Linked DNA regions of Oryzias latipes. The protein of the gene in region 2 interacts with the protein of the main gene of each other region in a biochemical or structural test. Links are inferred from orthologs where the notes say so. Each region holds a gene or a part of one and is shown on either strand. Other genes may lie near its edges.

Region 1 (4,750 bases), on a different chromosome or scaffold from region 2:
CGAGGCACCGACTCCTCTGGAGTCAGATTTACAATGAAAGAACTCAATGTTTCAGCGTTCATCCAACAGCAGCTAACAGCGTATAAAATACACACAAGAACATATTTGTCCAACAGAGAATATGTATTTTATAGACATGGATAGAAAACTCTTCTTGTGTATAAGTTATTAATATGTACTGTAAACAAATTAAAGCAAACACATGTGTTCAGCACACATTTCATTTTGACCCTCAGTGACTATTTCTGGTATTTTTCCAACTTCAAATTCTGGTGTTTTAATCAGTGTTATCAAATATTGTCTGTGAAAATGATTGTAAAAATAAAATAAATTATTTTACTTACATTTTTTCCCACTTACTCCCATGTTATTTAAAAAAAAAAAAACATTGAAAAACATGTTTGGCCTTATGCTTTGAGTCCTTGTCTTGATCCTTCTCCACAAAAAGCTCTATGATGTGTTGGAAAAGTCTTCCTGTTTTCCTTTATCTTCTGTTCCGTTTCTACGGCACCAGTGTAGCTACAAAGCAGCTGTCAGCTCATGTCTGCCCCCTGCTGGTGAGGCACGCCTCACCTGAAGCCTTTTCTGCGGGCCTACAGCAGCGTTTTCAGCGCACGTCTCTGTTAACATTGAGTCCTGCTGTCAGACATGAGGCACAGCGCTTCAGAGCCTCAACCGGAGTTTTTACTCCGTCTGTGATCGCGCAACACTCAACTTCAGCGATTTTAACCTCAGAAACTGTAAAAAACGTGTTGAGTTGACTGAAAATGTATATTTATCAGTGGAAAATATGTACCTAATTTACCTTTTTCTATTTTATCACAATTATGACAGGTGAGGCTGTGCCTCACTTGCCTCACCTGACCGCACGTCATTGGACCTTCGTCAGGAGAAAGTGTCACAAGAACATGTTAAATACACCAAAAGCACCATTTTCATTGGAGTGGGTGCTCTTTAAAAGAGTGTTTGTATGTAGTTGTATGTAGTTGAGCTTTCATGACAAGCTTGGGTGCATACGTGTCCGCTGCAGGGCCTGATATGCTGATGCAAGCCATTTTCTGCTGCATCAAAGCAGCATCAAAGTCCAAAGTTTCATAACCCAGCAGAGATAGAAAGCTTTCAACCTGAAACCGGACTGTCACCGGGAAAGCATTCCAGTCTGCCCTGGGCTCCTCTTCAGTTGGTCAGTCATGTGACCGTGCAGTCAAACAACACTTACAGAACATGCATGCTGTCCAAATAATTTGTAAATATCGCCTAGACTCCATCACCGACAAGTGAGTACAAAGACAAACTTCTGTGACTTACTGTTGTTGGACTTGAGGTCCCGGTGGATGACGGGGACGATGGCCCCGCTGTGCAGGTACAGCATCCCTCTAGCGATCTGCACAGCCCAGTTGACCAGGACATGGGGCGGGATGCGGCGGCCGGCCAGCGCTCGGCTCAGCGGCCCACCGGAGGCGTACTCCATGATGAGGCACAGGTTGGGTTCCTGCAGGCAGACCCCCTTCAGGGTGATGATGTTGGGGTGGGTGAGCATGGCGAACAGGCGCGCCTCCTGCATCACATTCTGGGCCGTCACGCTGATGTCCTCGTCGGGGTCTTGACGGGCCGCCTTCACTGCCACCAGCTCGCCCCTCCATGTACCGCGATACACTTTCCCAAAGCCCCCGACCCCAATCACCTCCTGCAAGCTCAGCTCCCGGAAATCCACGTCCGCAGGTTCAAACTGGGCCACCACGGCCTGGCCGAGCTCGCCAACCACACCGCTACTAGGGAGCTTGGCGTATCCACTGGGCTTGAAGGAGCCATAGTTGGATGGGAAGATGCCCACCTTGTTGTTGACCTTACCTGCCCACCAGCCCTCGTCCCCTGAAATCTCAGAGTCCAGAGAAAGCACCTCCACCAGGTCACCTTTGCGCAAGGTGAGCTCATCTTTACAAGACGCCTCATAGTCAAACAAGGCCGTCCATACAGGGTTGGTGAAGTTCCCCTTTTGCGACTGATCCAAGTTTTTCCAGTTCGACAATGAGCTGCGACTGAATATGTTCTTCAGCGGCTCCATGGAGCCTCCAGCAGATGTTTTGACTGGATCTGACTTTGCACACCGGGGGTTGGAAAATAAAGTACAAAGGAGTACTTTATGACGCCTCGCTCCCTTTCCTGTCTTTCTTGTTGGCTCATCAGGGACCAAAGAAATGTGTGCAAATTTTGGACAGACAGGAGTGGCGTCAAAGACAGCGGAGAGTCAACTCTTTTTCCAACCTCTCCATGATCTTAAGAGGAGACGTTTCACACTTAATCCTTTCAAAATGAACACAAGCAATCTGTGGGAGTGATAGCTTTCTAACACATGAGCAAAACATCCTTCCACTTCTCCTCTATCCTTATGAAGTTTTTCATCCACAATGCCACCTGTTGGGCTCTTATTTAGACACAACTAGAGGGGTTAAACACCTGTGAATGTTGCTACAGCAACCCCAAACACCCATCTGTCCGTTTGCGGGGATCTCTGGGTTTGTAGCCATTAAATGCGGCGGTGACCGCGGGCAGGAAGCGCCGCGAGGCGGAGAAGAATGGCAGGAAAGGAGCCTTCTGTCCAGCCAGCCAGCCAGCCTTAGTTAGTGAGACCCAACATCCAGCAAGTGCGCGTGAGCGCTCCGGGACCCCGTAAGGAAACCCCGCGTCCCTCTGAGGCGGAGGCTCCACGCGCCCCCCATGACGGGCAGTTCCACGCTGAGATTAAAGCGCTAAAAAAAAAAAAAAAAAAAAAAACACGCAGACTTTGGAACAGGAAGGGCTCCTCAAACCGAATCCCGTTAGCTCTCTCTCTCTCTGTGTCGGTGGTGTGGGGCTTTCAGCGCACCGTCCGGTGCGGCTCGGAGCTCCAGTCGGTCCCGGTGACGTCCGCAGAGCGCGGCAGATCCATCGTAGCTTCCAATCACGTTCCTCCGGCTCGGGCAGCTCTCCGCCGCCAGATACTCGACCCACTTCACGTCGGTGCTCACACAGGCAGCGCGGAGGGTGGGGTTTCAAAACTTTTCTGTCCCAACAGGAAAAGAGTCGTCAGATGACCGCCAACCGCCAAGCTTCCGCTCAGAAGCACGCAACTTCCGGGTCAACTAACAAAATAAAAGCGCTTCCTGTTGAACAACTTCAAAACCAAAAGGAAATTCGAACTAATTTGATTTTTGAAACATTTTAAATGTATTAAACCCCAATGTTTTTTGAATTGATGTTTCTTTTCTCATATATAGTATATGTATGTTTATATATGCATAATGTTGTTTGATTTTTTTATTTATTTCTACAATGTGTACACATTTCAGTAACCCCTGAGACATTCACCATGTTGTTGTATTATGTTTTCTGTCAATAAAGTCTGGGAGGGGGGCGCTTTCTGCTGCGGAACGTCCATTTCTTTTCAAGATAAATTAATTCAACACAAAATATTAACTTGTGTTTGATTCTTTAGCACTTTGTTGTTGCCTTTGGCTTTAAAATCACATAACATTGTTTGAAATGCCATTTAGAATTCTGCCAGGTTGGTAAAAACCATTGACTGTATGTGAGAACTGGACTGAGTGACTCCTCCCCCTTTGCGTTTCAAACAGGAAGTACCTGCTGGTCCCCAAAAAAAAAAATGCCAAAGAGACATAAACAGCTGTTACTCAGTTGTTAAACTTGTAAAAATAACCCTTCTTGCTCTGCTTTCTTTTTTAACATGTTAATGGTTATACAGATTTTTTTAACATGATATTTTTCTGTATTGTGAGTTATTAACTATTATTTATAAACTAACCAATCAGATGCCTCCATATTAGTGTGTGGTCTTGTGTCGAATGTTTGAAGCGTTTGACTGACTGATTCTCTCAAGCCCACTTCCAGAAGAAGGGTTGCGGCCGTCCAACAAGTTCACTCCTGACTGGTGAGAGCGGTTGCCATAGAAACATTGACTTTGACCGACTCGGACACATCACTGACATTGGTTGTGTCCAAATTCGAGGACTGCATTCTTCCTGGACTGCATTTGAGGGCTGCTTACGTCACAGCGCCGCCACAAGTGCTGTCCAAATTCAAAGACTACTTCAGATATACGGCATTCTTTTTCCCGATTTCAAGGATTGGTCTGCTGTATCCTTCTATGCTGTACATATCCCAAGATGCATTGCAGCCAAACCCGGAGATTTTCTGTCAACAGTGGCGGACTGTGAAGTGGAACCCGGAGTTGGAGATAATTACACCTTATTATATTTACTCCTCCAAGATTAAAATTGGATCAAATAAGCCAGGAAAAGTCCTTGTTCAGTTCCTTGTTCACTACTCTCTGTTTGGGATTCACGGTTGCTGGGCAACGGGACATTCGCCGATGCAGCGCCTGGAATTATCTAAAGGCAAGACTAGTCCAAATTCACAGCCATTCACATCCGGCCTACCCACTTGACGCAGGACCCGGCCAACGTCGCCCAGGAAGGCCGTGGCCATTGAAAGATGCAGCTCTCGAATTTGGACACACCCACTGACTATTCTGGCTCCGACATGCCAGCGTCCATATTGCCTGCCAAAAACTGACGACCGAAGTGACTTTATTTCGTTGGAGCCAGAAGGAATCCCTTTTCTATTTGTGTTATCACATTCTGGTGCCAAAACTCGCCATTTGACGGCAGTTGGTTTATTGGTTACACCAGTGTGGTGGGCGTGTCACCTGGTTAGACAGCGGTGAGTGTGCGAATGAAGTCCATCGTCCTTT
Region 2 (4,791 bases):
ATATTCATCACGTGAAAGTTTAAAGACAAATTCATCTTAATGTGGGATTCTAGTAATTTTCTAAAATATCTAGAAATATTGATAGTTGGACTGTTGTAGTACTTAAAATAGAAATTAAATCTGAGGGAAACGTGTATAAATACAGCTTTACTTTAAGGACAAAAGGCTCTTTATTTCTCAGCAAGAAGGCGTTGGTTCAAATCCCGGCTGGGTGGCCTGAAACAGAATCACCAATGAGGGACGTTTGCATGTTCTCGTGTGTAAGATCATAAATATCATTCCTATTATGACTTTCCTTTTTAATTTTTTATTCATTAAATTACAAAATAATTGAGTTCAACTTTTTTAAACGTAGATTTGAGCTTAAAAGATTGTATTTTTATCATTTGCCTGGTAATGAATACTTTATACTGTAATTATATGACAGTCTAGTATTTTTTATTCTGTCTTAGTATAAAAAATAAAATGAGTTTGTCATTTGTGTGGCAAAATGACTCTAAATTTATTGATAAAAGTGAAAAACCACTAGAGAAAATGCAGGCGTGTGCACCCACAGGAACGCGGGGGGGGGGGGCCCCTTTTGCCACGTAATAAAGAAATTCCCTGTTTTTTCTTTTTTTGTACTAACGTGAATACATTTCTATTAGAAAATCTCCTGATGTTCTGATATGTGACAGAATATGAATAATAACTGCAGAATCCTCCCAGCAACAGTTTTTGATAACACTAAGTATTGTAAATAGTTTCAGCATTCTGGCGATAGAAGTTGTTGAAAATCTGATTTTAAAATATTACCATCTGGATTAAACTTGATTCATGATTATTATGTCTGCAGCACAATGTGCCAACAGAAAGAGCCTCCAGTGTTTTATTGTTTTGACGTCTTCCAAGTCTGTGATAAAGTGAACAAACTCATGTTGACAATAATTTGTTTACATAACAGAAATGACAATTGTTTCACTTTCACCCACAGTAGCAGAATTCTTAAATCTATTGGTAGTTTATTTTAAAATTTGACTTAGTTTCAGTTTTGATTAAAGGACAAAATCTGAGCTTTTGCTGCCCTTTTCCAACTTCCATGTGCTCCTGATTCCCAGTCAAATTTGGCTGTTTTTATGCTTCACATAAAGGTCGTAAGCCATCCCTTTACCTGAAATTGTGTTGTCAGGAAGGTGTATTATTATCAACATTTTTATTATATTTACATTTTTTTATTTCTTTGGAACAAAAAAAGAATCCTTGAATAATGTCTATGCACAAACAGTGAAAACTCCACAATTAGAAAAACTTTTTCCGTTGGCTAACAGACAGAAAATCTCTAAAACTGGGTAGAAAACGAGAAAAGAGTACAGAGCAAGAATAGTGCCGCGCGGAGTGCTGCACGTGCGCGGAGGCTGCAGCGTGTGTAGGTTCGCTGGTCTCATTTGTACGTCGCTGGCCCCGCCCCCCGCCCCGCCCTGCCCGCCGGAGATTGGAGTCTGCTGGGAACTCCATGGTGCTAAATTTTTCAAGATGTCGTCGCTGGAACAGAGGCTCTCGAGGATCGAGGAGAAGCTAAAGCAGGAAAACGAAGAGGCCCGTCGGAGAATTGACTTGAGCATCGACATGAGTCCGCAGCGATCACGCCCGAGGCCAAGTGAGTGTCCAGCGGGGGTCACTGGGGTTCGGTGACGGCCAGAACAGCGAGGGGAAGATCGGAGAGAAGGGGTGGGGTGGGGTGGGGTGTATGAGGGCTGTTATGCTACTCCATGCTAAAAGCTACATGCTATCATGCTAACTACGTAAACAAACATGAACAAGAATAATGATTTATTATCGTCAAAGCGCTTCTTCAACAATCAAGGCAGCTTCTGTTTTGGGTTCTTCACTGGGAGTGTCGGTGACGGCGGTGTGAAGTATAACCGCGGTAACCTTGTACCGCAGTCCGTTTTGTTTCTGTCCTGTCAAACATGCTAAGCTAACGGGCTAGCTCCGCATCCATCGCTAGGCCTGTAAAGTATTCAACGTTGTTTACAGCTTTTCACGCGAATGTGCAGAAATGCCACTCATGCCGTAGTTTCATTGTTCTTAAAAAACGTCCTTTTATACTAGTTTTTATTTCTAAAAAGCTTGTTTTCGATGCCATTTTATGTGTTCCTAAGCAGGCTAATTCGATAAGCTAGCTGCGTCAAACAGACGTCAAGTTTGATTTACTCGCAGCTGAACGGTTACACGTAAAGCTGCCGTACTTTGTTTTTCCTTTAGTCTTTTTATATTAAAATAATTAAAGCACAAATAGCAGACGATTATCAAAACTAAAGACAAGAAGAAAATGATAATAATCTTCACTTCGTACATACTATCAGTCAAAACAGTCAGTTGTTTCCGCTCAAGAAAAATAATTATTGACAAAAATGGGAAGCCTCTTGGATAATAAGAGGTGAAACGTCTTCCAACTTTAAAAACTAAGTCCAGATGACAGCCCCTAAACCTACTACTATAAATAAAAAGAAGGGTTATCTCCAGCTTCTATTTTTTTAAAGAACTCCCTTTGACTTCATTTGTTTTTGTAGGGGTTCTATCTTAAGATCTAAACCTTTAAAATTCTGTAAATAAGTTTGAGAATAATAAACCTCAACCTTAAGTTTTTCACTCTGTTGTGACACAGAAACAGAATTTATTTGAAAATTTTCTTCTGAAGAATGAAGGACATCTGAACGTGTTCTTCGGACATATTTGCTGATTTTAGTACTGATCGTCAGTCGTTGTTATTTATGTTTCAAAGTTTTGTTCATACATTTCTCATCCTTTTTCTCCATGCTAGTGAGCCTCGATGCATAGTGGTTTTTCGCACAGACCTCTGGTAAATTCCTCTGAAAAAATGGCCTAAATAGTGCACCACCCGGCAGGGGGGGTGAATTCTGAAAAGGCCTTGGAGCGAAGCTCCAGTTGAGATGTTTTGGTTTTGGCCAACAGTGGAAAAAGTTGCACAATATACTTTCATTTGACATTATTTACGTTAAAATGGCATGATCTGTCACTACTGTGGCTCTGTGGGATAACCTGGACTTTTTGTTTTGTCTTATGGAGTTGCTTGGCTCTTCGTGTTAATATTTAATTTCCTTTTTTAATTCTATTTCTTTCTAATTGGGATCAGAAACATTGGTAGTGTTGTGCCCATGAAGGTTTTGTGCCCGTGTCTTCTCATTGTTTTGCAAAAAAGAAAAAAAGCGAAAAGCTGAAGTGTGTTTTATTTTCATGAGAACATGATGAAATGTGGAAGTGTTTGCTGTTTCCTGTAATGTGCGTGTGTGTATGTATATTTTCTTTCCTCTGTCTAGTCATCGTGATCCAGCTCAGTCCTGCTCCAGCCCCCTCCCAGCGTGCAGGTATCATTCATTCACCTCTGCCACTGCTCCCCACCACCTTCCAGCCCTCCGTTCTCTGCTCCGCTCTCCTCCTCTCCATCACTTCCTCTCCATCTCATTTCAAACATCCAGAGAAACATTCAGCTCAGCCAGGAGCTTTAAAGCTCCTGACTAAATATTTACTTCTTCTTGACATTTTTATGTGCTTTTATTTCTTCTATTTTACTGTGTTTAGAACGATGGGATGGGATAAAACCTTTTTATTGTTAATTTGTCAGATAAAAAAAAAAACTTTTCTCCACTTTATCAGAAAATATTTCCCCCCAACATGTCACAGCTCATCAAAAGGTTGCACAAACTCATGCATCCAGTACTTTTCCACCGCTGACATTTCAACCCTGCAGTTCTTCATCCTCCACTTTCTCACCCTTCTGTGCGTCTGTGCCAGTGGCAGGGCAGTGTTGGTTCGCATTGATGTGTTTGTGTGCTTCAGCACACGTGGAGGACCATTAACATTTGTTCTGCTGGAGGCAGAGAACCCCCTTCTTGTGCATGTGGCTTTGTTTTGTTTTTTTGCACGGCGTCGTGGAATGGGTTGTTTTTGTTTGAGCGTCTCTAATCCAGCATCCCCACCGTTCTGTCTGCAGGAGCGGGGAAACCTCCGCCTGGTTTCCCTTTCTCGTCTGTTTTCCTAACGGCACAGCTGAATGTTTTCCTTCCTGGTTCAGTGTTTCTGACTTACAGCTACGTCTTGCTATGCAGTTTTTTTTTATCTACCGTATCTCTCTCACTTTGGACTGTTTTGATGTTTTTTTTCCCCCCTCATCTCCTGGCTCCTCCCCTTTTTTGCAGTGGCGCTGTGTGAGCAGGAGGCGGGCCTGCTAGCATCTGTGTTGGTCCGTCCGTTCCTCCTCCCATCTGTTTAGAGGCTGTCAGAACTTTGGAGATGAAAATCTGTGCCGACGGCCGCTGGCGTCTGCCCGTCACACTAACCCCCCCCGCTTCCTTTCACCAACCATTTTCCCCGAACAGGCCGACCCGTCCGGGCCGCTCCTGGACCCAAACACTGGTGCTCCTGGCAGAGCCCTATCTCACTCGTGCAGAAAAACTCTGAGCAGCAGGAAGTGACTGCTAGCAGACATTTAGTCTAGTCATACCTCTAGTATGCAGTGAGACCGCGTCACTGAAGGGTGTAAACACAGATTCCACTGGACATGATCATTATTTGTGTTTGTGTGGCTGCTATGGGGGTAACCATTGATCGATGAACTGTAGATGACTTCCCGTTGAGGCTTAATGTGTATTTTAAGAAGCTCAGCCTGCCTGCATGGCTTTAACGGGATAGGAAGTCCTTACACGGCAGAAGGCTTTTGCTTCTTCGATGTGGACGTACCAAAAAATTCAAACGAGATAAAAAAAGAAGATACGTTTGGCTAAAACAGTA

What was found. The genes of interacting proteins can lie anywhere in the genome.
Region 1: of the proteins of map2k7 (region 2) and mitogen-activated protein kinase kinase kinase 11, one has a biochemical effect on the other in vitro, tested with the Homo sapiens proteins (2 studies listed by BioGRID). The link is inferred for Oryzias latipes from reciprocal best matches to the Homo sapiens genes MAP2K7 and MAP3K11.

The regions. Positions count from the first base shown.
Region 1 is NC_019876.2:27,257,628-27,262,377, reverse strand, and holds the start of mitogen-activated protein kinase kinase kinase 11, read right to left. Parts: upstream 3,228-4,750; 5' UTR 2,066-3,227; coding exon 1,309-2,065; intron 1-1,308. UniProt on the Homo sapiens protein: Activates the JUN N-terminal pathway. Required for serum-stimulated cell proliferation and for mitogen and cytokine activation of MAPK14 (p38), MAPK3 (ERK) and MAPK8 (JNK1) through phosphorylation and activation of MAP2K4/MKK4 and MAP2K7/MKK7.
Region 2 is NC_019859.2:2,778,016-2,782,806, forward strand, and holds the start of map2k7 (dual specificity mitogen-activated protein kinase kinase 7), read left to right. Parts: upstream 1-1,467; 5' UTR 1,468-1,512; coding exon 1,513-1,636; intron 1,637-3,320; coding exon 3,321-3,368; intron 3,369-4,791. UniProt on the Homo sapiens protein: Dual specificity protein kinase which acts as an essential component of the MAP kinase signal transduction pathway. Essential component of the stress-activated protein kinase/c-Jun N-terminal kinase (SAP/JNK) signaling pathway.